Regions from separate parts of the Mus musculus genome. Here regions 1, 2, 3, 4, 6 and 7 are each reported to be linked to region 5. The links are microRNA targets in miRTarBase. Many come from high-throughput screens and were not tested one by one. Region 5 holds a microRNA gene; each other region holds the end of a gene's coding sequence.

What was found. Region 5 holds the annotated microRNA mmu-miR-1192 (AAACAAACAAACAGACCAAAUU, at 2,469-2,490, opposite strand). A microRNA usually pairs through its seed, bases 2 to 8, with sites in the 3' UTR of a target mRNA and lowers its output. Matches are read on the target gene's strand: a 7mer-m8 pairs with bases 2 to 8, a 7mer-A1 pairs with bases 2 to 7 and ends in A, and an 8mer does both.
Region 1: the mRNA of Bnip5 is a reported target of mmu-miR-1192. Seed matches in the 3' UTR shown: 7mer-m8 at 2,389-2,395, 7mer-m8 at 2,393-2,399, 7mer-m8 at 2,397-2,403, 7mer-m8 at 2,401-2,407, 7mer-m8 at 2,405-2,411 and 7mer-A1 at 2,895-2,901.
Region 2: miRTarBase lists Hoxd12 as a target of mmu-miR-1192. Seed matches in the 3' UTR shown: 7mer-m8 at 2,982-2,988.
Region 3: the mRNA of Rc3h2 is a reported target of mmu-miR-1192. Seed matches in the 3' UTR shown: 7mer-A1 at 1,244-1,250, 7mer-m8 at 2,359-2,365 and 7mer-A1 at 2,888-2,894.
Region 4: miRTarBase lists Extl1 as a target of mmu-miR-1192. Seed matches in the 3' UTR shown: 7mer-m8 at 2,591-2,597, 7mer-m8 at 2,587-2,593 and 7mer-m8 at 2,583-2,589.
Region 6: miRTarBase lists Glrx2 as a target of mmu-miR-1192. Seed matches in the 3' UTR shown: 7mer-m8 at 1,557-1,563.
Region 7: miRTarBase lists Ogn as a target of mmu-miR-1192. Seed matches in the 3' UTR shown: 7mer-A1 at 1,147-1,153.

What each region holds. Positions count from the first base shown.
Region 1 is chr17:28,895,273-28,899,366 of GRCm38, reverse strand. It overlaps Bnip5 (BCL2 interacting protein 5), which reads left to right. Exons shown (of 12, transcript NM_172450.3): 12 at 444-2,972. The coding sequence ends at 479. Among named protein-coding and RNA genes, the nearest start is that of 1700030A11Rik, 7.9 kb to the left of the region's middle.
Region 2 is chr2:74,675,276-74,679,369 of GRCm38, reverse strand. It overlaps Hoxd12 (homeobox D12), which reads right to left. Exons shown (of 2, transcript NM_008274.3): 1 at 3,716-4,094; 2 at 1,665-3,556. The coding sequence ends at 3,318. Among named protein-coding and RNA genes, the nearest start is that of Hoxd12, 2.3 kb to the right of the region's middle.
Region 3 is chr2:37,371,673-37,375,766 of GRCm38, reverse strand. It overlaps Rc3h2 (ring finger and CCCH-type zinc finger domains 2), which reads left to right. Exons shown (of 22, transcript NM_001100591.1): 22 at 339-4,094. The coding sequence ends at 534. Among named protein-coding and RNA genes, the nearest start is that of Pdcl, 14 kb to the right of the region's middle.
Region 4 is chr4:134,354,360-134,358,439 of GRCm38, forward strand. It overlaps Extl1 (exostosin-like glycosyltransferase 1), which reads right to left. Exons shown (of 11, transcript NM_019578.2): 10 at 3,619-3,787; 11 at 2,014-3,471. The coding sequence ends at 3,289. It overlaps Slc30a2 (solute carrier family 30 (zinc transporter), member 2), which reads left to right. Exons shown (of 8, transcript NM_001039677.2): 8 at 1-125. Among named protein-coding and RNA genes, the nearest start is that of Slc30a2, 13 kb to the left of the region's middle.
Region 5 is chr19:23,147,846-23,151,939 of GRCm38, reverse strand. Mir1192 (microRNA 1192) reads right to left here and starts at 2,509; the gene lies at 2,389-2,509. The region is part of intron 1 of Klf9 (Kruppel-like factor 9); the gene reads right to left.
Region 6 is chr1:143,746,389-143,750,388 of GRCm38, reverse strand. It overlaps Glrx2 (glutaredoxin 2 (thioltransferase)), which reads right to left. Exons shown (of 4, transcript NM_001038592.1): 4 at 711-3,881. The coding sequence ends at 3,750. Among named protein-coding and RNA genes, the nearest start is that of Glrx2, 8.8 kb to the right of the region's middle.
Region 7 is chr13:49,622,481-49,626,480 of GRCm38, forward strand. It overlaps Ogn (osteoglycin), which reads left to right. Exons shown (of 7, transcript NM_008760.5): 7 at 333-2,021. The coding sequence ends at 503. The region is part of intron 5 of Cenpp (centromere protein P); the gene reads right to left. Among named protein-coding and RNA genes, the nearest start is that of Ogn, 16 kb to the left of the region's middle.

The sequences.
Region 1 (4,094 bases), not on the chromosome of region 5:
GGAGTTGGTTCTAGGGATGGATGGAAGTCAGCTTGCCAGTCTTACTGGCAAAGACCTTTACCGACTGAGCCATCTATTTGACCCCCCACATCTGATTTTTAGGCTTCAGTTCAAATGCCATCCTCCCCCCTTGCTGCAGTCTTCTGGGACACAAAGACAAGAGCTAAGCTGTAGTCAGCTTCAAAGGACAGGCAACTGAGCCCGGTGTTGCGAGTTGGTCCCAAGGGCCTGCAGGAAGTGGCAGATGCAATTTGAATGATCAGGGCTTTGGAGACTGAGGCTGAAGAACTGAGGACAGCTGTGCCCGATGAAGGGGGAGAGGAGCTGCAAAGTCTAGGGGACCTATCGTGGGTGTGGATTGGCTCGGTAGGGAGCTTGCGGCAGGGTGGGGAGCTTGCTGTCTCTGGCCCTGCTGAGTCTGCCTGTGGCTTTTCCCCTCCCAGGACATCACGAATCTGGATAGCCAGAGTCCGGACTGAAGGCCACATCTCATACACAAGTTCTTTCTGAGTAGCCAATAGTCAGCAGCTTTGGCCCGGAGACCCGGAAGACCCCCATAGGATGGCCCACTTTTGTGATTCCCTGCAGGCAAGAATGGACCATGGACAATTCTCTGTGCGCTCAGCATTGTCTGGGAACACTTTCTTCCGGGAAGTGGGACCCAGAAGCTGTGCTGGGGTCGGCACTGGAATGGGGTTAGGAGGTCAGGCTTCATCGAGTGAACCTGGAGGCTCTCCCCTCTGCATCCCATCCCCCCACCCTCAACTCCCTCATCCCTCATGACTGACATCTGCCAAATCCATGAGTCTTAGCTGGTGTGTGTGTATATATGTCTGCTTATCTGCCTGCCTGCCTGCCCGCCTGTCTGTCTCTGTGTGTCACTGGGTGGAGGGAGGTAGTGTAGGTCAGAGGTCAATCCCCGGTATCCCGCCTCCAGTTCGATCTGCCTTGTTTTTTGAGACTCACCCAAGCAGGTTTGTCTGAGGTTGAGAGTCCAAGGGATCTGCCTGGTTCAGCGCTGACATCACCCAAACTTAGGCCACCACACCCCACCATAAATGAGTCTTCATTTTGAAAAATAGTTTTTAAATTCAGTTTCCAGCTGGAAAACACACATGCATTCAAATAGCTGTAGCTGTGTCTCTGCCACGTCACTCCCGATCTCCCGGGATTAAAGGCATGTGCCACCACCGCCCAGTTAATTATTTTATCGTATTGAGAAAGGTCTCACTCTGTGGCCCAGGTGAGCATCTCTCTACCCCAACCCCACCCTAGTCTCTTGAGTACTGAGACTACAGCTGTGTGCCACCACACCTGGGCTACTTTACATGGTCACAGCTGGGTAGATTTCAGAAAGTCGAAGAGGGCTTCAAGCTGGACTGCCCCAGATGCTGCACAGATGTGCACTGCCCCAAAGCCTCTTGCCCTAAGACATGCAGCCTTCATCCTGTCTGTGCTGGATGGTTGTGTGTCAACTTGACACAAGCTGGAGTTATCACAGAGAAAGGAGCCTCTGTTGAGGAAATGCCTCCATGAGATCCAGCTGTAAGGCATTTTCTCAACTAGTGATCAAGGGGGGAGGGCCCAGCCCAGTGTGGGTGGGGCCATCCTTGGGCTGGTGGTCCTGGGTTCTACAAGAAGGTAGGCTGAGCAAGCCACGGGGAGCAAGCCAGTAAGTAGCCCCGCTCTGTGGTGTCTGCTTCAGCTCCTGCCTCCAGGTTCCTGCCCTGTGTGAGTTCCTGTCCTGACTTCCTTTGGTGATGAACCTCGATTTGGAAGTGTAAGCAGGTTAAACCCTTTCCTCTCAATTTACATTTTGGTCACAGTGTTGGGTTAGAAACCCTGACTAAGACACCATTATCACTGATGGCTGGGACGTGTTTGGCCCTCTTGTGGATGTGTCTATCTGCACAATTGTGAGATGTGGCCAGTGACATAGATACGCATATTCGTCACACGTCCATACCCACACACAGGAGCTGGGGCCATTGACTCCCTGGGCTATTGGCAGGAAAGTGTGACCATGGGGGAGGGTATCAAAGCCTGGGTGGCAGAGTGAGTCTCGTAAGCCTTGGAGACTATTGGTGGCCACAGCAGGCTCATGGCACCTGGGCTGAATGGCTTCATTCATGGCAGCTGAATGGAGGTAGGAAGGCCTGGCTCTCAGGTGGAGGCAGTCTCAAGCGAAGGCATCCTTTCAGGAAGTTCAACTAAAATCCTCCCTTTATTTATTTATTTTTAATTCCATCAAGGTGTCTCTTACTGGCACTTGATCTCCTTATAGATTTATTTTAGGTAGTATTCTTGGGTGTGGCATGGACGTGCAAGAGCCAAAGCTTTGAGTGACTTTTCAAAAGATGGTGTTGTGTGCATTGGTGGGTTATTTTTGTTTGTTTGTTTGTTTGTTTGTTTTTGCCTGCGTGTGTATCTGTGTGTGGGTGTCAGACTCCTGGAATTGGAGTTACAAGAAATTACTGTAATGTGGATGCTGGGAATTGAACCTGGGGCCTCTGGAAGAGCAGTCAATGCCCTCTTATCCACTGAGCCATCTCTCCAGCCCCGGGAACTAAATTTTTGAAACAAGGGTCAGGAGCCTTTTGTACATAGTTTATTTTATTATTAGCAAATCAGTCTTCTACATAGTTCAGGTTAGTTACCACACCCAACTGTACATAGTTTCTTTTATTTATATATAAATTATGTTTTCATTTTAAATTATGTGGGTTGGTATGAGTGCAGTATCCACGGAAGCCAGAAGAGGGTGCTGTATCTCATGGCGCTGGATGGTTGTAAGCTGCCTGCTGGGAACAGGGCTTGTTTTACCACTGAGTGCTCGCTCCAAACCTTGGACATTGTCTCTTATCTGTAAGAACGACTATCCAGGCTGTAGAATATTTGTTATGAGTTCCCGATGCTGGCATCCAAGTCTGGTTTTTATACTGTGTTGTTTGAACCAATAAAGACACTGACTCAAAGTGTGAACCGGATCTTTTCAGGGAAGCTAGGTCATCTTGCTCCACCCAGTGGAGACAAAATGGCTGCCCCCGTGTTCCATCTAGAAGAGACCAGATGGCCGCCACCAGCCCCCATCCAGGACAGTCCGAGCTAGTGGGGCCAGCCTCCCTGTCCCTGTCCTGGGTTCTCTCTGGCTCAACTTTAGAGTGACACCATGCTGACACAGTAATAAAAGGGGTGCTAGGTTGGGTGGTCATGAGCTCAGGGCTTCCCATCCGATCCCAGGCGGGTAATGTCAGAAATGAGATATTGCTGTCCTAACCTGACTCCTGAGGCAGAGAGAGGCTGGGTCAGCCATCGTTCTTTTTGATTACTTGATGAAGCTGGTGTGACTTAGCACAGGTGTGGAGAAAGGGTTTGAGGCCGCTCTCTGCTATGTGTCTGAATGGGAAAAGGACGGCATGGTTGAGGGGACGTTTACTGTAGATATGAATGACAGAGAAGCCAGAGGCATCTGGGAGAGTCCAGACTGCACATGGCTAGCAGACTGACGCAGACCATGAGATGGCGGTGGGAATCCATAGAGGAAGGAGGGGCTGTGGACCAAAAGAGAGGCCACATAGCCAAAATGGCTGGTTATATATACAGGAATGGGAGAATCTGGGGTAAGGGGAAGAAAGCTCTGGCGTTGGAGAGAATGCGGGTAGGGGGGCGGGGCATGCCAGGCAGGACGAGTCTGTAACAGGCACTTGTGAGTATGGACTGAGCCAGAGTCTGCCTTGGTGTGTTAAATAGGCACCTCAGCCATTTGTCCCGGGTTTCTCTGAGACCTCACAATATCCAGTTTGAATTCAGCCTGGGTTGTAAGGGTTCAGCATGTGGGAAGCTACATACGCCATTACAAGATGGCGCTGGCTACCGCTGGCCACCGCCCATAAGTTCGGGTAAACAACCAATGTGCGCATGTGCATAAGGGTTTTGCGCCACGTCACAGCCCATCCTGGGGAATGTAAATGAGACACTGAAACACAACCAATCAAGTATAGGCCACTCCTAGGCCTATACAAGCAGCGCCAGTTCTGGGCTGGGGACTTTTGCCTTCTCTATCAAGCTCTCCCAATAAACGTGTGCAGAATAAT
Region 2 (4,094 bases), not on the chromosome of region 5:
CTGGAAAACAACAACAACAAAAATGTGGGCAGATCACCTTTGTCCAAGGACTGTTGGACAGGCGCTGTGCCCCCCACTACCACTGAGGGATGTGGATGCGGCTGAGAGAGGCCAGTGATGGGGCACACCTCCCTCCCCCACCACCAGACATGAATATTTACAAGGATTCTGGATCTCTCCTCCACTAGCTCGCAGCCAGGAAGCCTCCCTAGCCTGCCTCCCAAGGGGGAGAACCCTCGGCCCTTAAAAGCTTCCCCCTTTCGGCCTCCAGAGCTATCAACGGAGTGAACAGCAGGGTAAACCGTCCTTTTTTCCATTTTAAAACCTCTTTCTTAGTCAAGAGGCCTCGTGGATTGCAGCGTTTCAGAAGCATTTCTCTCTCTACGAGGGAATGTGGAGCCATCAGATTTCAATATCTTTTCTCTTTGGCATTTGTTTCGTACCCTGGTTCCAAATTTCTTTCAGAACTTCGGTTAGGGAAGGAGACTCCGTGGTCTTTGGATTTCTGTGGATCAGTAAAGGGGATGCATTTGGAAAACACCGCTGGACCTACAGATAAGATTTTATACTTAGGCTAATTTTCTTCTGGGACTGGTCTCTAGGAATCTCCCCCCACCCTCCATACACAAACCATTCCAGAATACACAGAAACATAATGGCTTAGTATCATATCTATCTAGGAAAATTGGCCTGCATGTTTTGTGTTAGGGTCTGAGTCTGAGGAAGTCTGGCTTCTTCTTCCTTTCTCAGTCCTCTGGACCCAAGGTCTCTCAGTATGGCTTCTGCCTTTGTTCAGTTGTTTTTCCGAGGAGAAAACCTCTCAATACAGACTCAGACTCCAGAAACCTGGCTTAGTACCACTCCCTTCCTGAACAGTAAGATGGGGAAACATCCCAACCACAGGACCCTCGCAACCCCTTCCTTCTTACCTTCCAATTGTTGTGGATATTTTTTAAAAATTGTTTAAAAAATACTATATGCATAAATCGAATTTGTTCCCCAGGAAGGGAATTGGAACTTGAATATTCAGTATTAAGAGATGCATTGGTCTTGCTTATTCTTTCTCTAGTGAGACACTACTTTCTACCTTTATGAGTTAAGAGTCATTTTCAAAGGGGTTACTTTTAAACAGGCCCTGGGTTTATTTGACTGAACTCTGGGCTCCAAAGGCAGAATTCCTAAGGAGCCTGCTGAAGTCCTGGTGCAGTTACCTAGGGAGCTTCCTAGGACTTAGCTTGCTCCTTAGAACTCTGACCACAACTTGGCAGAGAGATGTTTTGTTTTGAAATCTGAGGAGTCTCAAATCTTGACTCTCCCTTCCCCCACCAATTATAGTGAGCTTTAAAGTTTGAGAATTTAGGCAAAGTTGAGAATCCTTAGTCTACAAACTTTTAGTTTGCTTTGTGTTTGAGATACAACCACATCTGCCCAAGGACTCCCCCTTTGAATATTTCACACATATTCTGTCTATAATTCTTTTAAAAAATATATAGCTGTTTCCTGACTGTCTGGGAAGCCATTTTCTCATTTAATGAACAGCAAAGGCCAGAGTTGAAACCTCAAGTGGAGAAAAACAAAAAAACGAATTTGAGAGCCTGAAAAAGATTACAAAAGAATTTAAGGCATCTTTTAAAAATGAGCATCAGCCCCCTAACAACTTGTCTGGGATCTGGATATTTATTTTCACTATGAAGCTAATATATACAGGGAAGTGTTATTTTACAAAATCAAAACAAAACATAAACGGCAACTGTTAGCACAGGAAATAATATTTAACACACCAACCGAGGTCAGTTGGGGCGAGGCTCAAAGGTCCTTGTGAGATGCCCTTCGAGGTCCAGTTCCTGGAGACCTTCTCTAAAGGAAAGCCATTGGACTTGGGGAAGGAATCATGAGCCTTTGGGATGTTGTGCATCTTGCTAAAGGTTGGGGGTGGGGCTTAAAGCTCAAAAGAAGAGGCAAAGATTGTAGGGGAAGGCGGAGTTGAATTCACTGGGAATGAGGCTGGACAGATTCTATAACAGGCGTAGAGCAACTTCATTCACAATTCAGAAAACCTAGGTTTCTCAAGGTAAACCTGGCAGGGCTTGGGGCCTTAAAAGCTTTACAAGAGCTGACCACCAGTCTCTGAGAAGAGACACCCTAGCTAAGTTCTGATGGAGTTGGTGGGTGGTGGAGAGGATGGGGAAGAAGTGCTGGTTTTCTGTCCTTCAAGAGCAGCAACTACAGTCTGAGAATCTGAGAGGTTTCTTCTCCCACCCTTCAGACTCCTCAAGGAGGCATTTTTTTTGGGGGGGGGGTCTCTTCCTGTGGTGATACATTAAGGAAATTCAAGAAAGACAGACATATGGATAACTTCATTCATTCAAGAGGAGAGTCGTGGTTACAGAGTGCAGATCCTCCTCCGCCTCGCTTACTCTTCTTTCTTCCCTGTGCAGCCAAGCCTCAAAACAGGCCAGCAGCTCCCCTCACCCATAGCTCAGTTCTGGGGATCTAGTTACAGAGTGCTTGGCCTTGGCTCAGGGATAGGTGAGGCTGGAGCAGGGGAATTATGACAGTCTAGAGACCATACTTTGTTTTGGAGTCCCAGTTTCTCTCCCTGTCTCTGAGAAGGAGATCTTCCAGCCTGTTTTACTCAGCAGGAGAACCTTTGAAGCGCTGAGGTTCCAGGGTATCCTTTCCTCCCCCCCCCCCCACAAGTCTGAAGGTCTAGGGTAGCTTTTGTCCTCCCAAATCATTCAGGGCAGATGGGGGTTGTGGAATCAGGCCCTTTCCTTCCTGCAGAGTGGAGAGCCCAGCTTTGTCACAAAGGGCTTCTGCTGCGAAGGGGCTAGAGTTATCCCCAGCCCCTTGCACTGCAGCGGGGTCTCAGGGCCTTTCTACCTGCACTTATACCCGGAGCTCTAGCTAGGCTCCTGTTTCATGCAGAAAGAGCTGGATAGAGAAAGAAAAAGAAAAAGAACACGTTGAAAACCGGAAAAAACAAACCCTCATACAGTGTTTCAATAGTGAGCCCCGGATGTAAACATCATAGACAAGGACAGGTGACCCCCAGACACCATGCTGAATGTTTAAAGCCAGTGTTAGATTGCAATTCCCAAACACCTCTCAGGAGGGTCCCAAAGAGAGCTGAAAGCGAAGGGGGCTCCACTGGCCTCATCTCCAAATCTCCTCCTGGTTCCTCAGCTACAGACTGAGCCGAAGGGCGCCCAGGACCAGAGGAGTGGGAGGGAAATCTGCAGCCCCAACACCTCCTCCACAGCCAGGCCTTGGTCCAAAAGGGCAGGCTTGGCAAGGCCTCAGGCCCCCGTGGGCAGCTAATAGAGGGCCAGTGCTTGCTCGCGCTGCACTACCCGCTTCTTCTTCATACGCCGGTTCTGGAACCAGATTTTGACCTGCTGGTCGCTGAGGTTCAGCCTGTTAGACAATTCCTTACGCTTCTGCCGGTTGATGAATTCATTGACCAGGAATTCGTTCTCCAGCTCCGCAATCTGCTGCTTTGTGTAGGGTTTCCTCTTCTTGCGGGCCCTCCCCGGGGCCGCCCCCCACGGCAGGCCTGCAACAGAGCCCCGACCCATGTCAGCTCGCTCAGATCAACTGCCCGCCCCACAGACGTTCACCACTGCTGGCGGGTCTCCTCCCTGTCCAACTGTCCCTGACACCCCACCTCCCGTCCCTGCCTAAACTGGCTTGGGGGAGCATGGGCACTGTTTACCGTCGGGCAGTGAAGATCGCAGGCAAGAGGCCACCCCGGCCACTTGCACTGCCATGTTCAAGTTGAGCGGGCCTTTGGTGTCTTCCTTGAAGCTGGAGGCACAGGGGGCCCCCTGGAGCAGGGTCGCAGAGCCTGGAGCGGTCCGGCCCACACCCGCGTAGTCATACTTGGTGCCTTTGAGAGCCGAATGAACCAGACTAGACTCGGGGGCGAAGGGCGGCCTAGTCCGGCTGCGTTCCTCAGATGCGGTGGGCGCATCAGGCGTATAGAACTTGACCTGGTCTTCGGGTCCGTCCTTGGCGCCTGGAGACTGCAGGCCAATTGGCCCAGAGCCGGTCAAGTAAGGCTGAGAGAAGCCTCCAAAGGCAGAGGCGGTGGC
Region 3 (4,094 bases), not on the chromosome of region 5:
TTTATTTATTAGCTTTTATGTGTATGGGTGTTTTGACTGCATATATGTCTATGTGTGTGCAAGCTTTGTGCCCAAAGAGGCCCGGAAGGACATTGCTTCCTCTGAGATTGGAGTTACAGACTGCTGTGTGGTTTTGGCTGTTGAACCCCCAGGTCCTCTGGAGTAGCAGTTGTGCTTTAACTTCTGAGCCTTCTCTTTAGCCCCTACTTAATACATTTTTTAATAAAGAAGATAGGCTTTTCTGTGGGCTTAGAGTTTGAAGTAGCTTTCAGAGAGCAAATGTGATAACTCTTAAATTGTACATAAGTTAATTTGCTTTCACTGTCATTTTCTCTCAGGGAGGAGCAAAAACCAATTCTGCCGGTAACATCTTGCTTTAGCCAGCCACGTCCAATGTCTATTAGCAGTGCAAGCTGCCTCCCCATCACCACATCTGTCAGTGTTGGCAACCTCATTCTGAAAACTCACGTTATGTCTGAAGATAAAAACGACTTTTTAAAACCTATTGCAAATGGGAAGATGGTTAACAGCTGAAAGGAGGCTCAGCTTTCAAATCTGTGACCACACCATGGAAGCATTTACACTAGCTTTTTATATATATAATATATATTATATAATGTATATTTTTTTTAAAAAAAAAGATATTACTGGGGGCATCCATTTCCTGTGGACTCTTTGATACTTCAAGCCCTCTTGCATTAGCATTATGAAAAAAAAGAAAATTTACTTTACTAGGGTAATGTTCACTTTCCAGAAATTATTGGAATTTGGACAACATTTAACTTAAGCTTCAAGCAGCTTTTTATGAGTTTGTAGCAATCCGGTGCAGTAACTGAGCCATTTCCTATTTTAAATGGCTTCTACAGTAAATTAACAACTCAGTTATTAAACTAGCAGGATCCTACAATGATACATCTAGTGAAAGTAGAGTTAATTAACTTATTTCTATTTTATGTTTCACTGAGAGAAATTTCCATCTCATTCCAGCTGCTTTATTTATCTTTTTCATTGGACTTTGCATGGATTTTTCTTTCTTTCTTTTTTTGTTTTGTTTTGTTTTGTTTTTCCTTTTCTTTTCTGTCTTTTTTTTTTTTTTTTGAGAGTGGAGTTAGATGTTCTTACCATAGAGTTTTACAGGGTTATAATAGCTTTCTTTACTGCATTATATGTAGAAGTGTAGTGCAGTGCTTTTATCTGTAGCATTTAATTTTTTAATTTTCCATTTTTCAAGAATAGTTTCTGCTTTGTTAATATTTATACACAGGCTACTTGTTGAAGTAATTAATTAAAAATATAACCAAGTGCCTAAGTCTTTCAGCTGATGTACTAGATATTAAATTCTCCTAAGTTATGCAGAATCGTTTTTACAATTTTGATAAATTATGCACTAATGTAATGGCAATTTTTTAAAATGCAGATTTAAGCCTGTACATTATTGAATCTGATGACTTGGCAAAAGAATCAGGTGCTTTCAGCTTTCTTGAGAAAACCCTGTATGTAGCGTTTGCACTGACTAACAAGATGGTATTGCTGGGTCTTTAATTTAAAGAAATTAATTTGGGTGTTCATTGCATTATTTAGTTAGATATTGTTTATTGTTACTTCATGTTGGGTTTAATTTTCTTGTTTTCTGACTGTTAGGTTGATAAGACTTTGAACCATGTAGTAGTAGAACATTGGCTAACATTACCCATACTTAAAAACATGAATAATTTCTGCCCTGCCATAATGTGACTGAAATTTTCACTTGGCATCTGAAAGTATGCAGTATGTTCAACCAGCTCTGCCCCAGATTTGTGGGTAGTAGTTTATTGAAGCTTAAATTTCAGTCAATATTTAAAAACAAAAGCAGGGCATGCCTTTCTGGTAGTAATCTAATAGTTTATCTTTTTGTTTTTCTTCCATTTCTTTAAGATTAGTTTGACTTTTATTATTTTTTAATTAACTTCTGTGAAGTTGTTTACTCTGAAAATTGTACTGGAATATTTTAAGCCAAGCTGATCTTTCACCAGGTGTACTGTATGTAAGGGCTTCTCCTGCTAGCAAGATGCTTAAACAGGATCATGTTATTGGTCGTCTGAGCTATTTAGTTATTTTACAAAAACCACAGCATTGTATCAGAGAAGATTTTGATAAAAGTTTTGTGCACATTTCCAGGGGTGGGAGGGTTAACATTTCCCTGAAATTTCTTGATTGGAATGAGTAAATACTGGTGTTTGATACCTGTCTTAATGAACATGCTCATAAGGTGACTGATACGTTGTAAATAATACCTGAGAAACAAAGGGGTAGTTTTGATATTCTGGTGTCAGTATGGAAGATCTTACACATTTATTTAATACTCAAGTGTATGAAGATGTTTGTTTATAACATAACAGCACAGTAGCCTTGACTTAGTTTTATTTGGTTAGTACTGTACCTTTTTGCCATGGCCAGTGCTCCCCATCCCTACAAAGACATTTTATTTATTTTACTCTGTAACCTGAAATGAAGAGGAACAAGAGTTTTAAACCATGTTACATTAACTTATTTCTGACATTATAAATTAGCCTAGGATATTACAGGAACATGATTGTTATATAATTTATATCAGAACCTTTCTATAAATATGAGCTTATTACATTTGAAATGTTTCCAATGTATTTTTCTTTTCCTTCTCTTCTCTTCTCTTCTCTTCTCTCTTCTCTCTTCTCTCTTCTCTCTTCTCTCTTCTTTTCTTTTCTTTTCTTTTCTTTTCTTTTCTTTTCTTTTCTTTTCTTTTCTTTTCTTTCTGTTTGTAATTCCAAAAAGGTTATGTAAACCAGTCTGTCTATTTCATGGATATTTAATAGTGAGATCTTCCATGTTGAAGGTAATGTATTTTTTTTTAAGATTTTAAAATTGCTATTTTGTTACAAAATAGAGACCTATTAACAGTTGAGAGCTCCTTATGTGCCCTCAGGGAAAGAACCCTCTGTGCAGCAGAGCTACACGAACATCTTCAGCACTTTCTGAGGGTGATTATATACTACATAAATTGATCTTGTGTATTTAACCTTATCTTTTTAATTTTAAAGTTGAAATTTTGAAACGTGGTTGTGCTCTTCTGGAGGGGTTGGGATGCTTAGGTGTTTGCCTACTTGTTCAGTAAACTGCATTTCATCAGTGTATGTGTACACCTGCCAACCTTATTGGTGTGTCTCAAACATTTATAGGAAAATAGTGCTTGTCTTGCAGCAGATGATCCCATAAAACAATAACTTCTAATTCTTAAATGTTTACTCTTTCTCACTAACAACACAGGAATTGTTTCTGTGTTCACATTATTCTGTATTGCATTTTTTATGTGGTGACAGCTTACTGTATGTTTTAGTGGGTATAATTTGAAATAAGGCTATTGGATCTCTGCCACTTAAGAAGAAAGAACAGTTCATCTGACCTTTCTTCAAAATGATACCTGCTGATGTCACAGAGGAAAATAGTACAAACAGACCTAGAATGTGTTTTTTTTTAATTGGGGCAATCATCACTTTGACCCTTTATCAAGATGACATGATGAACACATTTGGAATCAGAGGCTACAAAACAATAGAAGAGAAACTTTGTAATGTCGGTATCTAAAATGCTTGTAAAGCCTATGGGTCTAATCAGGAATCAGTAGTATGAAGTCTGAAAAAAAGCAGGGAAATGGTGTAGGTTTCCTTATATTTTTTACCTGTCAGTTTTCGGAGTCCCAATTCCTAGTCTGTGTGCTGCATTCAGATGCTGTGAATATATCATTAGTTTTGTGTGGGCTTCTTTTATTTTATGAATTCTAAGAGTTCTGTGTATATTTCTTCTAGTTGGTACCTACACAAATTAGATTTCTCTTGCTTTTGCCACTATGACTTATTTCAGTGCCATGCAACGAGTCAGTGTATGTAGGGACAGGGACATTGTACATTGTAATTTTCAAGAAAAGGTATCTCTTAAGGCCCGTGGCACTGATTCTGCTTTCATAGCTACTTACTCTACTAAGAGAATTCAATGAAACTTCATTTAAAAACTAAAATTTCCCATTGGTATGGATCGTAGTCACTTTGACCCAGATTTCAAGTTGATGCTAAGTTTACAAA
Region 4 (4,080 bases), not on the chromosome of region 5:
GGGCTTCCTAAAGTTCCTGCAATGGCTCTGTCCTGGCACAGTAAGGAGAAAGGCTAGGGTTGGCCTCCACCACCAGCACCACCACCCCAATTTAAAAAAAATAAATGGCATTTGTTTTATGTGTATGAGTGTTTTGCCTTGCAGATATATATGTGCCATGTATATACTTGGTACCATTGGATACAGGAAGATGGCATCAGATCCCTTAGAAGGCAAAAATGGTTGTGAGCCACCTTGTGGGTGCTGGGAATTGAGCCCAGAGCCACCACGTGGATGCTGGGACCTGAAGCCAGCGTCTCTAACCCCTGAGCCATCTCTCCAGCCCCTCAGTTTCTGTTTCCTTTTGTTTCTCTGGCTGCTCAGGTAGCCCTGGAGATAGCCTCGGACTCCTCCTGGTCTTCTTAAAAAAATTTTAAAAAATGGTTATTATTGTGTGTCTGTGCATCGGTGTGGGCATGTGTGTTCCATGGTGTGTGGGCAAAGATCAGGGAGTTGGTTCTCTCTCTCTACTCTGAGCTCTGGGGAGGGAATTCAGGTCGCTAGGCCTGTCCCTTCCCCCACAGCCAACTCACTAGCCCTCTTGTCTCTGCCTCCTAAGTTCTGGAATTAGAGGTAGGCAGCAGACTTTTTAGATATCCCACACTAGCCTGCAATTGCCATCCTCCTGCTTCAGCCTCCTGAGTAGCTGAATCCCAGCATGCACCATGCACCACCCCGGCCTCCTCACCTTTGAACTTCTCTCCAACTGTAAAGAAAAGCTATGTCTCTGGCACTGTCATATTTACTTAGGGTCAGGTCTGTGTGAAACCTGCGTGGACCTGGAATGGGGAAGATGTACCCCTCCAGTCTCAAGGCATCACATGCCCACCCCTCAGCCTCCACCAGCCCCAGGATTCTGGATACTGGGTACCACAGTGTGCCACATCCTTAAACCTCTCAAGAGAAGGTTGCCTGGGACTTTGAGAGGGTCTCTTGCCCCTGCCTCCTGAGTGTTGGAACTATAAACACCAGACCCTCTTCTTCCTTTCTTTTAAATTGTGTGTGTGTGTGTGTGTGTGTGTGTGTGCGTGCACACACACATACTTATCTGTATGTGAACCACATGTGTGGGTGCCTGTGGAGGCCAGAAGGCGGGTGTTGGATCCCTGGGAACAGGAGTTAATATGTGTTTGTGTGCCATCCAATGTGTGAGTGAGGAACCCAGGAAGAGATCCTTTGCAAGAGCAGTCAGTGCTCTTAACCTCTGAGCCATCTCTCTAGCCCCGCACCACCCTACTTTCATTTTTATAGACAAGAAAAAGGAAGGTTCAGAGAGGCCCACTGCTGGCGACAGATGTCCCTCATTCCTGGGCTGATGACAGCAGAAGTTGGACCTGCCTTGAGCTGCATGTTTAGCCCAGCGTGAGCCCTGAAATGCAACAGTGCTTTCCACACAGTCTCAACCAACCCCAAGGCAGTCCATCGTCCTGGATGTCCAAGCCACCACTGCAAAGGTGCCTTCTGTCCCTGGGCTGGCCCTGGCACCGGGTGCCCTTTCCATCTTTGGCAGGCTGCCTAGACTGCAGCTGTGTGAGTCCTCTTACCCTCAACTGCTCCTGACCCTGGGCCAGGCCTCCTCCCCCACTTTAATCTCAAATCCGCTCCTCCCCCACCCACCTTGCACCTCAAGGCATCTGACAGCACCCTGCTTCCATTAGAAGACCCAGACCGGCTTTCCACACCCAGCTGTGACAGGCTCCAGGAAGGACCTGAGTCATACAGGGGCAAGGAGTGAAGTTGGAGAAAGAGGTTGGGAGGCCTCAGGGGACAGCCTGTTCCAGCCAGCAACCTAGTCACGGGAGTTTCCACAGTGGCCGAAGCCATCAAAGAAGGAAAACACCCGATACCTTGGGCTGGGTTAGACCCCCCACCCTCACTGTCTGAAGTCACCCCAGTTCCATGCCACGCCCCTCGCTGACCCTGAGCGCCCTGCCACACAGGGCAGCTGCTGTAAGCGTATTTATAGCCCGGGCGTGAGTGGGCAAGGACACGTGCTTTATTTCGGAAGCGATAATTCCAGTTCCAGGTGGACGAACCCAGGAAAAGCAGCCTCCCCTCCCCTACTCCACTCTCACCTACAGGATGCTGAGGACAGCCCTCTTCCTGGCGACCAGCCCATCTGCCAACAGCCCAAGTTTGCAGGCCAACGTGGAGTTCTGTCGTATTCCTTGCATGTTTTCATCCTGGGGTCTGCACACACCAGTGACCCTCTAGCTCGACATTTTATCCGTAGTCTTTAACTCCATTCAGTCAGGCATTGTGGCTCACACCTGTAACTCTAACACTTGGGAAACTGAGGCAGTAAGACTGCAGTGAGTTCCAAGCCAGCCTGGGTTACAGACTGGGACCTTGTCTTGCCTCCTCCTCCCCTCCTGACCCCCCCCAAGTTCAAGAGGCAGCCAGGTGTAGTGCATGAATTTAATCTCAGCACCCTGGGAAGCAAAAGTCAGGTGGATCTCTGTGAATTTGAGGCTAGTCTGGCATACAGTGCGAGTTCCAGGACAGCCAGGACTACCCAGAGAAACCCTTACTTGAAAAACAAAAACAAACAAACAAACAACAAAATGTCAAGCAAAACCAAACTCCATTCCTTTGAAGGGAGAGTAGTGCAGCAGCTGACCTCTAGTGGTCAAGATTGGTAGTGCAGTGCTGCTAGTCACCCAAGATCCCGGGTCTGCCGAGACACCGAATCCTCTGGTTATCTTCGACTCCTGGCCTCTTTGTTCACGCTTGATTGAGTCTGGAAATCCTGGTGTGTGCTTTGTACCGGGACCAGGAACTCCAGAGTAAGGGGCAGCGTTATGTCTTGTGCACATTCTGCCCGTGTTCCACCACGCATGCCACCAGTTAATACTCTTGCAGCTATTGCTCAAATATTTACAGTGCACCTGCCAGACCAAAGAGATGAGAGCAGGACTCCGCCCTACGGAGCTTGCAGGCCGGCCCTGGGGCCTCGTGATGTGCTCAAGGCCACTCGGCGTGAATCGTGCGAGGACTTCGAGATCACCAAGGAGGTGAGTGCAGGTCTGACAGACATAGGTCGACCAGGCAGAGATGCAGAGAAAGGCATTTCAGGGAACAGGATCAGCCTGTACACCGGCCTGTGCGAAACGTGCCAAACGCAACCCCACTGCAGCTGGAGAAGGCCCCGGCCCTCAGGGATCCCTGTAGCGATTGGCCAACCGGGACAGGACTTTGATCCATCTCTGTTGGTTCTCTCGTGTCTAGCAGACAGGTGCAGTGCCTCGCCTATGGCTTCTCTAGACTGCGATACTTCTTGCGTTGCACCGATACCGGGTCCTTGAACAACACCGGATCCAGACGCACTTGAGAGGAAACCAGAGGCATGTGGCCGAACCCTGCTGCTAAACGGTTGATGCAGTCCTGATCCAGGGGCTGAGGCTCCGGCACTGGTCGTGGATCCCCAGAATCCTAAGAGGTGAGAGGGAAACGTGTCCGTGAGGTTGGTTTTTTTATGAACCCTCACGCTGCTGCAACAAGATTTGGATTAGAGAGTGAAGAGGCTCCGCCCTCTTTTCCTTCCCCATCAGGGCTTTCCAGCCCCTGGAGTCGCCTCACCATTGGCACAGCCTCCGGGTGCTGCCTCCCATAAGGCACCTTGATAGGGGGCAGTTTGGTGACGGTGGCTACCAGGAAGTTCATCAGGACGTCAACACAGGTGGGAGTCTCATCAGCTATGGTCCTCAGGGCCTTAGGCAGGGAGTGGGTGAAGAGGGTGTGGTAGTACCTGTAAGATACATGGTAAGCCTTAGGCTGGGGGGTGGGGGGGATGCAGGCCTCATTCATTTCCCTATCTTTGACCCCAGACCCCAAGTTCCAAGACCTGTACCCCATCCCCTAGCTCCTCTCCCAGGGTGCTCCCACCCTGGGCATGACCCTTCTCCATGTGCCCTGTGATTTAGGGGTTGGGCAATGATTGTGAATTCCTCCAGTCTCTCCGGGCGGCCCTCTTTCTGTGTTCCCAAGTCTGAACTCTGACAGAGATGACTTGATGATGTGTCTGTGGGGGGGGGGGGGGTA
Region 5 (4,094 bases):
ACGAAGCCCAGCGGTCCATAGAGGGCCAGGCTGCTGCGTTTTGAGGCTTACGTGGGTCTTTTCTACTCGCTACTGTTATTTTCAACCTTATGCTTGTGAGCCCTGAATGGGGCTGGCAGAACAGTGTCTGTGCAGATGTTAGAGGTCTCTAGGGAGCGCCAGAGCTCTGTATTTCCTCTTAAAGTCAGACCAGGAAGTGCTCAGAAAAGGCTGCTACCTCCCAGCCACGCCAGACCAAGTGCAACTTGTGGAAGCCCAGGTTAGGAAGGTCCTACTGGAACGGCACCTGAGGGGCTGGCTTGTTGTGGTCAAGTGGGACCCGGGTTGAGACGGGACTAGGTGCCACCAGAGGAAAGCAATGTCACAGTGCCCAGAATCTCACTCTTCAGCATACAGTGGGTGTGTGACAGCCAGTGGAGACCACCAGGCTGCAGGGATGACCCTTCATGATGCCAAAGCAGCCTGTGAGTTTTGCTATTCCAGATATCAACCAGGGAAAGAACGCGAGGAATCCCAAATTAGCATGGCTGTCTTGAGTTTTACCTCAGAAAGATAATACAATGTAATGTGTTAACAAGCTGTTTCTATAATTCCAGCACTTGCGAGGCTGAGGCAGAAGGATCACTGTGAGTTTGAGGCCAGTGTAGCTGTAGAATCGTATCTTTACAAACTCACTGATCCTAAGAACTCTTATACTGCCAAGATAGAGCTTTGCTCCAACGGGGGTGGGGGGGGGCGGTTAGTAACTATGCCCACTCTACCAGCTAGCTAGGTAGGTTGTGACAGATGAGGCAGACAGGCAATGCTATGCCATCATTTGTCTCCAGCTTCCCCCCTGGGGACTTCGCATTGCTGGTACCAGGGTATGGCTGTGGTGACAGAGTCTTACTCCACTGAACCACTCATTTCTGCAACAAAATGAGTCAGAGATTGGCCTGATTCAGTGTTCATCACCAGAAACTATGAAGGTTGGGTCTGAGCTCTCCAAACATGAGGCGCGCCCCCCCCCCCCCCGCCTCCTGCCCACCATGGGATCTGGACAAGTGACCCAAGCCGGCCTTGGATGCTCTCAGAATTCATCCCTCCTGCTTAGTCCTCCCGAAATGCTCAGGTTAGAGGCATGCACTCCACGCCCAACTTCATTCTGCTACTGTCTTTGAAACTGTAATGATACAACAACTACAACGGAATTACGGCAGCCCAGGAATTTAAGTCACTTTGGGGCGTGTGTGTGTGTGTGTGTGTGTGTGTGTAAGCTCTATTTTCTGTTTCCTGTATTTACTGTGGTGTTTCTGTTGAGTACGGTGCACATTGAAAGGACTTTGGAATCTCGATAGGAACCACTACATAAATGGCTCATCTTTACAGAGACCTTCTCTATTAAGTAACACCTGGGATAATAAATGCTCACGTAAATGTGATTCATTTCATCCCTCAGAGCACTGGAATAGATGATGTGAAAACCCTGAAGATCACACGGCTGCTTATAAAACTTGTCCCATGTGAAGCATTTGTTTGGTCTTGGTTCCCCAATCATCTCCTCAGGGGGGCCTGTGAGTGCATGAGCACTTGTAAAATATGTTGAAATTATCTGTACTCTGCCAGGTCCTTTCTGTCCATTCGCTCAGAGCCTATCTTTTCTGCTAAGCTCAGGAGAGCAGAGAAAATAAATGCTGCTCTTTGGCACAGCCTATTTGCAAGCCTAAGTGGACATCGGTGTTTGATTCGCCTTGTCTGGCCTCTATCTTCCTCTACTGGTAAGGAACAGTGCACCTTGCTTCCCTTTGCAGCCAGTCCTTTCTCTGAGCCCACACCTTCAGACCTGAGAGTCTTGGATAAATAAGTCTGTTTTCATAAGGGACACACCACTTAAGCTTAGCCGTGGCTTTCAGCCTGGGTTGTTTGCTGGAATCATTAGGAATGGGAAGTAGTCTTTCTGTGGGGCTTTGCTGAATTGGCAGGAAGTGAGTCTGGTGTTGCTTGGCAGCCATTTTAGTACCATTCAGAGACAGCCTGCTCATGAATGAAGCCAGAGCCAGCAAGAGGGTGGCAAAGCCATAGAGAGAGGGGGCACTGAATGTCCATCTGCATTCAGCAACTCCTGAACTTGGATCTCCATTTTTAATCTTTTTTTAAGTTTTGCTAAGTAGCCTAGTGTGCCCTCTAACACGTGGCAGTTGTCTGCTGCCTAAGCCTATCAAGTGTTGGGATTATAGGTGAGAGACACAACGCCCAGCTCAGAGCAAGTCCAAGTCTGGACTTTCTTGCTTGCAACCTATTTATGGATCCCAAACCCAGCCCCTGGCAGGTGTGGCAGCACTGGCCTGTCATCTCAGCAGTCTGGAAGCTGAGGCAGAAAGACAGCCTAGACCATAGAGTTGCAGGCTGGCATGAGCTATACAAGCCAGACCCTGTCTCAAAACACAAAAGCAAACAAACAAAAAGAGCAAATCGAAACAACAATGACAAATTTGGTCTGTTTGTTTGTTTGTTTTTACTGTTTGGAAGGAAATAGTTTCGGGTGACAAGGTCAGGAGCAGTTATTTTTGTTGACTTTCCTAACTAAAACTCATGAAAACTATCTTCACATCAGACCTGGGGCACAAGGAAGACAGCTTAAGATGGTGGCTCTAGGGCCAAACCCAAAAGAGCCATAAGAATAAATACAGAATCTCTTCTCACTGGGAGCAAGCCACTCAACAGCCCTCACGTACAACTTAGACCTTGAAACAACAGTAGGAATATCTCAGCATAACCTTGGACGAGTCTGATTCCTCCTGTTTAAACAAGAAAAGCAACACACTTCTATTCGGTCTTATGGGATTAACATTCAAGTGAAATGCACGTAAGCCACTTAGCTCAGGCTCTGAGACATACTACATGTTCAGGACGATAGTGCTCACTAAGTCTCAATGGCTGTCGCCATCTAACACACCTTTCACTTGTCACCATTGCTCAGCACCATCCTGAGTCCACCTAGAATTCTAAACAAAAATTCTAAGGCTCTCAAAGGTGTCTGGGATATGTATGTAAAATATATATTTTTTAATTGTAGTAATCCTCAGCAAAAGGTTGGCATGCATAATCTTTTAAATGACTCATCTGAACGTGGCCTCATAATTTCATGAATATATATAATTATGGAACCCCATTTGACAGGTGAGAAACCTGAGGTTTCAGGGAGATAAAAGCTTTGCTTGAGTCTTTGTGATGAGAGTTATGGAGTCAGGGTTAGGTTAGGCCTGGGCAGGTGCATGCTCCCATCACGGTACCTCTGTTTCTATGGTGAAGGTAAAGGCTCTTCTGGAAGCCCCTTGCCTTAGCTAGAGCTCCTGAGAAGTCACTCACTATTCTGATGGGCCAGGGCCTTGTCGTCACTAACTGTGATCTTAGCAGAGCTGATCCCCTGTAAAGGGCAGGTGCTGAAGTCCCCCAACCTTTCTCCCATTGTTCTGAGCCACAATGATCTGCAGTGTTGGCACATGCCTTTAATCCCAGCACTTGGGAGGCAGAGGCAGGCGGATTTCTGAGTTCGAGGCCAGCCTGGTCTACAGAGTGAGTTCCAGGACAGCCAGGGCTACACAGAGAAACCCTGTCTCGAAAAACAAACAAACAAAAAATAAATCAATAAATTTCAGGGGCCCAAGACACAGTGCTAGCAGCACTCAGGAGGCCCAGGTTCCATCCCCCAACCCCAGAAAACACTTTCATTCACGCAAAGACCCAGCAGCTCTGGCCTGGGATGATGGAGTGGAAACCTTTGGATCCCAGGTCCAGATTCTCAGCTCTTACCACAGGCTTCCAAAGCCCCGAGCACCTGGGAAGTGTGCAGCTAAGACAAAAAGAGGCTTGAAGACACACCTCACAAACGTGTGTGTTTAGGAACAAGTGGGAATGAATGTGGAGAAAGACCCAAGAAATTAAAAAAAAAAAAAAAAATTTGGGTTCCTCCCTACTCTGGTGGAGGACGCCATTCTCCCAATATCACTGCTAGTCCTACACTTACTGAGGAGGCAAGACAAATACTAACTCTTGGCCTTCCAGGAAGGAAAAAGCAAGGACTCTGAGCTTGGCCTGGAGCTGCTTCAGGAACT
Region 6 (4,000 bases), not on the chromosome of region 5:
CACAAATGCATTAACCTTCTGAAACTGGGTTTTGCTTTAACATATGCTAAGTACCATAACCCCCAAAACTAAAAAATAAATATTGTATCCTTTAAGCTAAGCGATAGCACAGTGTGTAAAGGACAGTGGTTGTACAAGCCTATTAACTGAAGCTCCATCACCAAAATGAACCCATACTAAGGTGGAGAAAACTGACTCCACAAAGCAATTCTGGCCTTCATATGCATGCATGCCTCATGCAGTCCTCCTTCCAGCACTAACACAAGTTGTATCTTGTGCGTGTGTGTTCCTGAGTTTTATCTAGCATTTCTTTGTTATTTGTGCACACATACATATGGACAGGGCCTATGAGAGTGAGCCCTCACATGGACAAGTCAAGAAGGACTTTCAGGAATCATTGCTCTCCACTGCGGGTCCCAGAGACTGAGCTTAGATCATGGGCTTGCTTGGCAAGCACTTCTACCCATACAGCTATCTAGACTCCATTATTGTAAATGTTCGCAGAGGCTAAGTCTTCTGTTACAGTCTTGGGTCTTTTTGCAAAGACATGTCAACCACTACAAAGACTAAGTGAGGTCAGCGCCCTTCACTTTCAACTCTTCCTGTCAGTGAGTAGTCCTGGTTTGCAAATTCATTCCTTTTGATGCAGTGCTAGGTTCCAAGAAGTAATCTTTTTGTTTAAGTCACTGAGAATAAAATTCAGCACACAATTAAGCAATCATTGGAAGAGTTTATTTCTTTTTTTTTTTTTTTTTTTGAGACAGGGTTTCTCTGTGTAGCCCTGGCTGTCCTGGAACTCACTCTGTAGACCAGGCTGGCCTCAAACTCAGAAATCCGCCCGCCTCTGCCTCACAAGTGCTGGGATTAAAGGCGTGCGCCACCATGCCCGGCTTTAAGAGTTTATTTCTTATATAAACTTATAATTGAAAATTAACATACCCTGTTACCTTCTATATTCTTGAGCCTTCTGACGATAAGGATTTTTTAAGAGCTGGGTTATTTTAACATCTGACCCTAACCAAGAATTATGTACCACACATCCTCTTGTTTCCCACAAGCCTAGGAAGAACTGATAAAACATTCTTAAGAATTAGTTGTATAGCTAAGTGGTATATTAGCCCAGTGGATATTAGCCCAGAAGCTCAGAATACCCAAGATACAATTCACAAAACACATGAAACTCAAGAAGAAGGAACACCAAAGTGTGGATACTTTGATCCTTCTTAGAAGGGAAAACAAAATACCCATGGAAGGAGTTACAGAGATAAAGCATGGAGCAGAAACTGAACAAATGACCATCCAGAGACTGCCCCACCTGGAGATCCATCCCATTAACAATCACCAAACCCGACACTATTGCAGATGCCAACAAGAGCATGCTGACAGGAGCCTGATATAGCTGTCTCCTGACAGGCTCTGCCAGTGCCTGACAAATACAGAAGTGGATGCTCATAGCCATCCATTGGACAGAGCACAGGGTCCCCAATGAAGTAGCTAGAGAAAGGACCCAAGGAGCTGAAGGAGTTTGCAAGCCCCATAGAAGGAACAAAAATATGAACAAACCAGTACCCCCAGAGCTCCCAGGGACTAAACCACCAACCAAAAAAAACACATGGTGGGACTCATGGCTCGAGCTTCGTATGTAGCAGAGGATGGCCTAGTTGGTCATCAATGGGAGGAGAGGCCCTTGGTCCTGTGAAGGTTCTATGCCCCGGTATAGGGGAATGCCAGGGCCAGGAATGGGAGTGGGTGAGTTGGGGGGAATGGGAGGGGATACGGAATTTTCAGAGGGGAAACTAGGAAAGGGGATAACATTTGAAATGTAAATAAAGAAAATATCTAATTAAAAAAGTCTAATGTAAAAAAAAAAAAAAAGAAAAAGTTTTATAAGTCAGTGGCACCTGCACACCTGCCTGCTATTCAAGCCCTGGGTCTGAGGCTGAATACCACAAAAAAAGCTCCTCAAAGCCAAGGCCATATTATTACGTGGTTGGTGTAGCTGTGCATTTAAGTAACCTGCCTTTGACCTTACATCCTAATAAGATTACTAGTGACAACAGAAACAGTGACACCTTTCCCATACATAATGTGAGTTTTAGAGCATAGTAAAATTATATAATTTCTCATGATATAGTGTAAAATAAAGGAATAAAAATACACCATGTTCCTTTCCTACCAACATGACAGCTTAAATCAGGAGAGCTGTCTTAACTTCTATGTCAAGTTATCCAAAATGCAGTTGAAGTCCACGTAGGAAACATCTCTGACAGCAAGCCACTGTCTCCCTCCAAACTCTGCATGAGTCCCTAGTCTATCTTGACCAGAAAGCTGAAGCACTCACTCTGGGAAGTCCATGTTCTTCCTACCTGAGAAAGGCTCAGCATTTGATAACATTTCCAACGTGACTCTGAGAATCTGCTAGGAAATGCATCATTTCTTAAGCACTTAAAATATTCTTGACCAGAGGCGGAAACCATGACCAGACTAGCAAAGCATTGGAAATGTTTTCAGTTCTTTTAAATATTACTTCTTAAAGGTTAATTCTGTTTGCTAAGTTTATCTGAAATGAAGTCAATTTGAACAGTGTCTTCCTAGTTAGAGAATAGTAAGATAACAGAAGTGATTTTAGGGACGCTCCATCTGTGGGACTCAGACAGACTACCTGAGACTGAGTACTTTATGAAGAAGAGATGGACTTTCTCTAGGTCATCGGTCGGGAAGGTGAGGTTATCTAGTGAGGATTTCCTTGCTGTATCAGGACACTGCAGAGGAAGAAGAGGAAGAGCAAAGACGGGAGAGGTAAGGGGACAAACTCATCCTTTTATCAAGAACCACTCTAATAGAGCACGGACCCATCTGCCCTCAGGATTAAGTACTTTGTAAAGGCCTCACCTCGCGTACCATATCAGGTTATGTCATGTGTTTCCAACACATGATGTCTGTGGTGGGGCACGTTCGGACTATAACAAGGACCGTTAGTCTAAACTCTAATTCCTGTTTCTCTTAAGCATTCTCAAGCTGGGTGTGGTAGCTCAGCATATAATCCAAGCCTGGAAACAGGTAGGAGGACTGACTTTTGCGTTTGTGGCCATTCTGAGCTACAGAGTGACCCTGTCTCCAAAAGGAAAAAAAAAAAAAATTCCAGTAGCTGATACACATTCTGAAAGGTAGAATGTCCAACTGGCAACAGAACTAAATAACATTTCTGAACTGTTTGAAAAGCCCACTCTCACTCTATTGAAACCTTTTGCTTTCTGACCATGAAGTCATTAGCAGCTTGATGCCCCAACTAGAAACTTCATCGAATTCTACATATTTAGTATGTTTGGTGGTCTAGAACATAAAGGGTTGTCATGATATGGTATCCCAACCCACTGCACATCTGTACCACATTAAATTTTAAGGAAGCCACATGTCAGTCCTCAGCCCTGACAGCTAGTGAACGTGAGAAGTTAATTCCTGAATGCCATGGGGAGCAAGAGTTTAAGTGCGTACTCCCTCTTTGCTGTAAGATTCTTAAATTCTTAATAAACATTCTTTACTTTTGATGTAACTCCACCTCCTTTAGTTTTTTTATACCATCTCATGCTCAAAAACTGGCCAATCGGGAGATGAAGGGTCCAGGGCAATTTATTGTTCATTATTCTGAATCATCTTTATGAAGGCAATCCACACACTGAAAACAGCCTCAAGTCAAAGGTACGACTGCACTAACTAGCATTTACTGGTATGGCGACTATCCACATCATTCAATGTCTTTCCTCTTGTTTTTTTTTTAAATAACACTGATGAACCAGAGGCAGCAATTTCCCTTCTTTGTGAAGCCTGTGAGTGTCCGCTGCGCCTCCAATAAATCGTCCATTGACAAATATCCTGGGAACCTGTTGAAGAAGGAAAAGATAAATAAGGCCTAACCATCGGTGTCAGAACTGGTCCAGTTTTGGAGGGAAGTGAGGAAAAGTAACTTGCCGAATATAGCAACAGGAAAAGAGGTAGGAGA
Region 7 (4,000 bases), not on the chromosome of region 5:
GGAAAAAGTGAAAACGAGAAAAAGTTGATTCTCAGCAACACAAGAATTTCAGCTATTTAAGCAAAGAGTACCATTTGAATTAACACTTTAGAATAGGATACTCTCTCTAAGCTTGCATGTTTATATTCCAAACAGGATTGAGTGGACGCAACTCTGAGTAATAACAATACTAAACACTTAAAATATGTCTAGGTTGCAAAAGAGGGTGTCATCACCATGAACTAATATTTTTAAAAAGATTACATTATTGCCAAAATATCTTTATGTGACCCTATTGTAAAATGTACAAAAAGTTGGTTTTAGATTACTGATATTTTCCTTTTGTTTTTCAGTTTAACAGCATATCTTCACTTACAGATGATACATTCTGCAAGGCTAATGACACTCGTTACATTCGGGAGCGAATTGAAGAGATTCGCCTGGAGGGCAATCCAATTGCTCTGGGAAAGCATCCAAACAGTTTTATCTGCTTAAAAAGATTACCCATAGGGTCATACTTCTAACCCCATCAGTGCAGCTTATAACCTAAGGTACATGTGCCTAATGTCTAAAGGAACAGAAACATTAGTTTAACATTACCGTTTTATCTCACTATGATGGAAGTTTATGTTTAAACAAAGTGTCCAAAATTGTTGTATGTGACTACAAAAATAATCCAGCCTGAATCTCTTAGTTCAAAACAAAATACTGTGAAACTAAACAGCATTAAGGGTCTCCTTGTTGTTATACCAAACCACTATCTAAATAGCATGCTTTTACACAGACACTTGCTTGAGATACACCATTCCCATGACTAATGAAGTAAGAAAATTCCAAGAAACTTGCAACTGTTTGTCTTTTTTAGCATTTACTGTATCTCAAAAGCATTTAAGACAGAGGTTCCAGAACCTGTGCAAAGCCAAGTGCTCCCAGTGACCTTCCACTGACTCTGATTCATCAGCATTCTTTGTAAAGCAGAAATGTACTTTCTGTCAAGGCAGCTACTTCACTGCATTTCTCACTTAGCCCAAGGAAAGGGACAACACACGCAAGCAAACATTTCCAGAGAAGGGAAAATTTTACTCTTTGGTACAGAGCCAATTTAGAAAAGTTCAATTTTCTGCTTTGTGGTCACATGGATAGCCTTTAGTCAATTACTTAAAAAACTTTGTTAAAAAAAAAAAGTAAAAATCCTACCCATTTCTCAAAGGATAATAAGGTTCCTTCACCTTAAAGATTCTCAAATATGAAATAATTGTAAACTTTTTCACAGTATAGGAGTTTATTCAAATATAGGAAATGAAAACAAAGTCTACACCATTGTGCTGTGTGCAGCTTCACCTGTATATGTTCACCCAAACAAACTAAATATGCTCATTCCAGCCCAAGAGCACCATTTCTCAATGACCATGGTTTCCAGATACATGTAATAGTGAAAACCCAATCTCACAATGCAGATTAAAGTTCCAAAACTAAGCTTCAGAGGAAGGTGCACAGACCACTCACAAATATTACTCTACATATTACTTGGAGTTGAACATAAAATGATCAGCGTTTTAGAAATATTCATCTTTTATACATAAAAGTACCAATATCATTTCTATTATAAGTTTTACATTAGACTCTCCATGTTCTTCCCAGAATATTCATTTTAAGTTTGGTGGTTTTGTTCCAACCCAGATTGACCCCTGTCTCCTCTGTTAAGGGTGATGAAACTTTTCATTAAAGCATCTGTGAACTGTAAGGCCACAACTATTGCTCTAATAATGTCAACTAGCTCATTCATTTTTATAAGTTAATTACAGTAACTTTATCCCACTGTATTATTTTGTGTCCATGACTCATTTTCTCTGTGACTGAACGCTCACCAAGAGCACTGAACACAGTTCTATTTTTATGATACTTAATAGCATATTTGAGTTAAATATACAATAAACATTGTGAAATCTATCCAAGTAGAAGGGTTCTGTTTATATGGAAAAAACAAGTTAGTATAATCTTGAATAAATCAACAGAAATAAAGCGACAAGATTGAGAATGGACAATGTTCTAGTATGCCTATTAATTTTCCAGTTTTAACAAGAAAAGTGTACTCATCTACACATGCACACAAACACACATAGTTTGGTATTTTCAAGGCGTATGTTGCTCTGGGGACTGAGCAGAGTGCCTTGAGCATGCTATACAAGATCACTGGTCTATATCCCCAGCCTTCTATATGCTTTGTTTAATAAAATTTAATGAGAAAATACCATAAGATAATTATAAGATAAATTTTCAAGGTTAAAAATCAATGGTTTAGGTAAAACCATAATTGAGAGAAAGAACATTAGTAAAAATTGTAAGTTATAGAATTTGCTTAAATAACTTGGGATTCCCTGATAAGATAATTTGAGTATAGGTAGTTTATACCTTATATTGAAAATTAAGTAAGATCCAGAATGAAGCAAGAAAAACAATACAAGTAAAATTATTCTTGAGTCCACTCTATTATACCAGTGTTTTACTCTTGACAATTTTAACTCAAGAAAGTCTTAAAATAAAAGAAAACTATTCATACCAAGATTGGAGAAGATATGGTTCAGAGATTAAGAGAACCTACTGCTCTTGCAAAGGACCCAAGTTTGATTCCAATACCAACAACTCCAGTACCAGGGAATCCAATACTCTCCTCCTCTGGCAATGCACACATATGTAGTACTTACAAAGTGCAGTAAAACACTTATACATATGAGATGAAAATGAGATCTTTTTAAAATTATTTATACATTATGAATACTGCAAAAAACACACACACATACACCCCGAAGACATATGTGGTGTTTTAAATAAGAACAACCCCCACTGGCTCATATATTTGAATATTCAGTGACCAGGAAGTGAACTGGTTCTAAGAAGGATTAGAAGGTTGGAGTAGGTGTGCCACTGGGGGTGGCAGGGTGGCCTTGGAGGTTTCAAAAGCCCATGCCAGCCAGGCCCAGCATATCTCTCAAAGTCTGTAACAGATGTGAACTTACAACTATTTCTCAAGCACCATGCCTGCCTGTTGCTATGCTCTGTGCCATGATAATAGTGGACTAGCCCTCTGAAATGTAAGCAAGCCCCCAACTGAATGCTTTCTTCTATAAGTTGGTCATGGTGTCTCTTCACAGTAAGAGAACACTAAGACAATATACATAAAAGAATAAAAAGTATCAGTGATGTTTTTCCAGGAGCATTAAAAAAAGAATCTACTCTAAAATTTATATAGACTATCCAAAGACCCCATATAAACAAACAAAAACTGTTGAAAAAGAACCAAGAAAGATGACTCATACCTATTAACTTCAAGACTTTTTATAAAAATACAATAAAACAAACAATAATATTGCCATATTTACATACTTATAAGTGATATAAAATTAGAGTGCCCAGAAATAAATATATTAAAGAAATAGAATAAAATCATAAGAATGACTTGAGGGACTGCAGTATGGAGACTTTTCATTCTCCATGTTTCATCTGGAGAAAGCCTGATGTCTGACAAATTTTATAAACTCAACCAAGTAGAATGAATTTAATAATAATAAACGAAGAATTGAACCCCAAATACAAGAGGCTCAGTACCAGTCTTTAAAATAATAATAGCTATAGGTTACTGAAGGACTAGAATCTTGAAATGTGATTCATGCTGATTCACTCAGAACAGGTTTTTGTGTGGGCGCATAGCTGTTAATAACAATGCCATGGAAATAAGTAGGATGGGAGGGATTAGAACACAGAAAAACAGCTTTTGCTTATGCCCCTAAACATTTTTTACAGCAGTCTTTAAAGCATTTCCATTAGACTTAAAACCATTACTTCATAAAAATCATGCTTCAATATTTATACTCAAGATGTACAATAATCCAGCAGTTCAAAACAGTTCAGCATAGAAGTTATAAGCAACCCCAAACTCCACCAGAGAACTTCCACAGCTGATAAACAACTTCAGCAAAGTGGCTGGATATAAAATTAAATCAAGCAAATCAGTAGCTTTCCT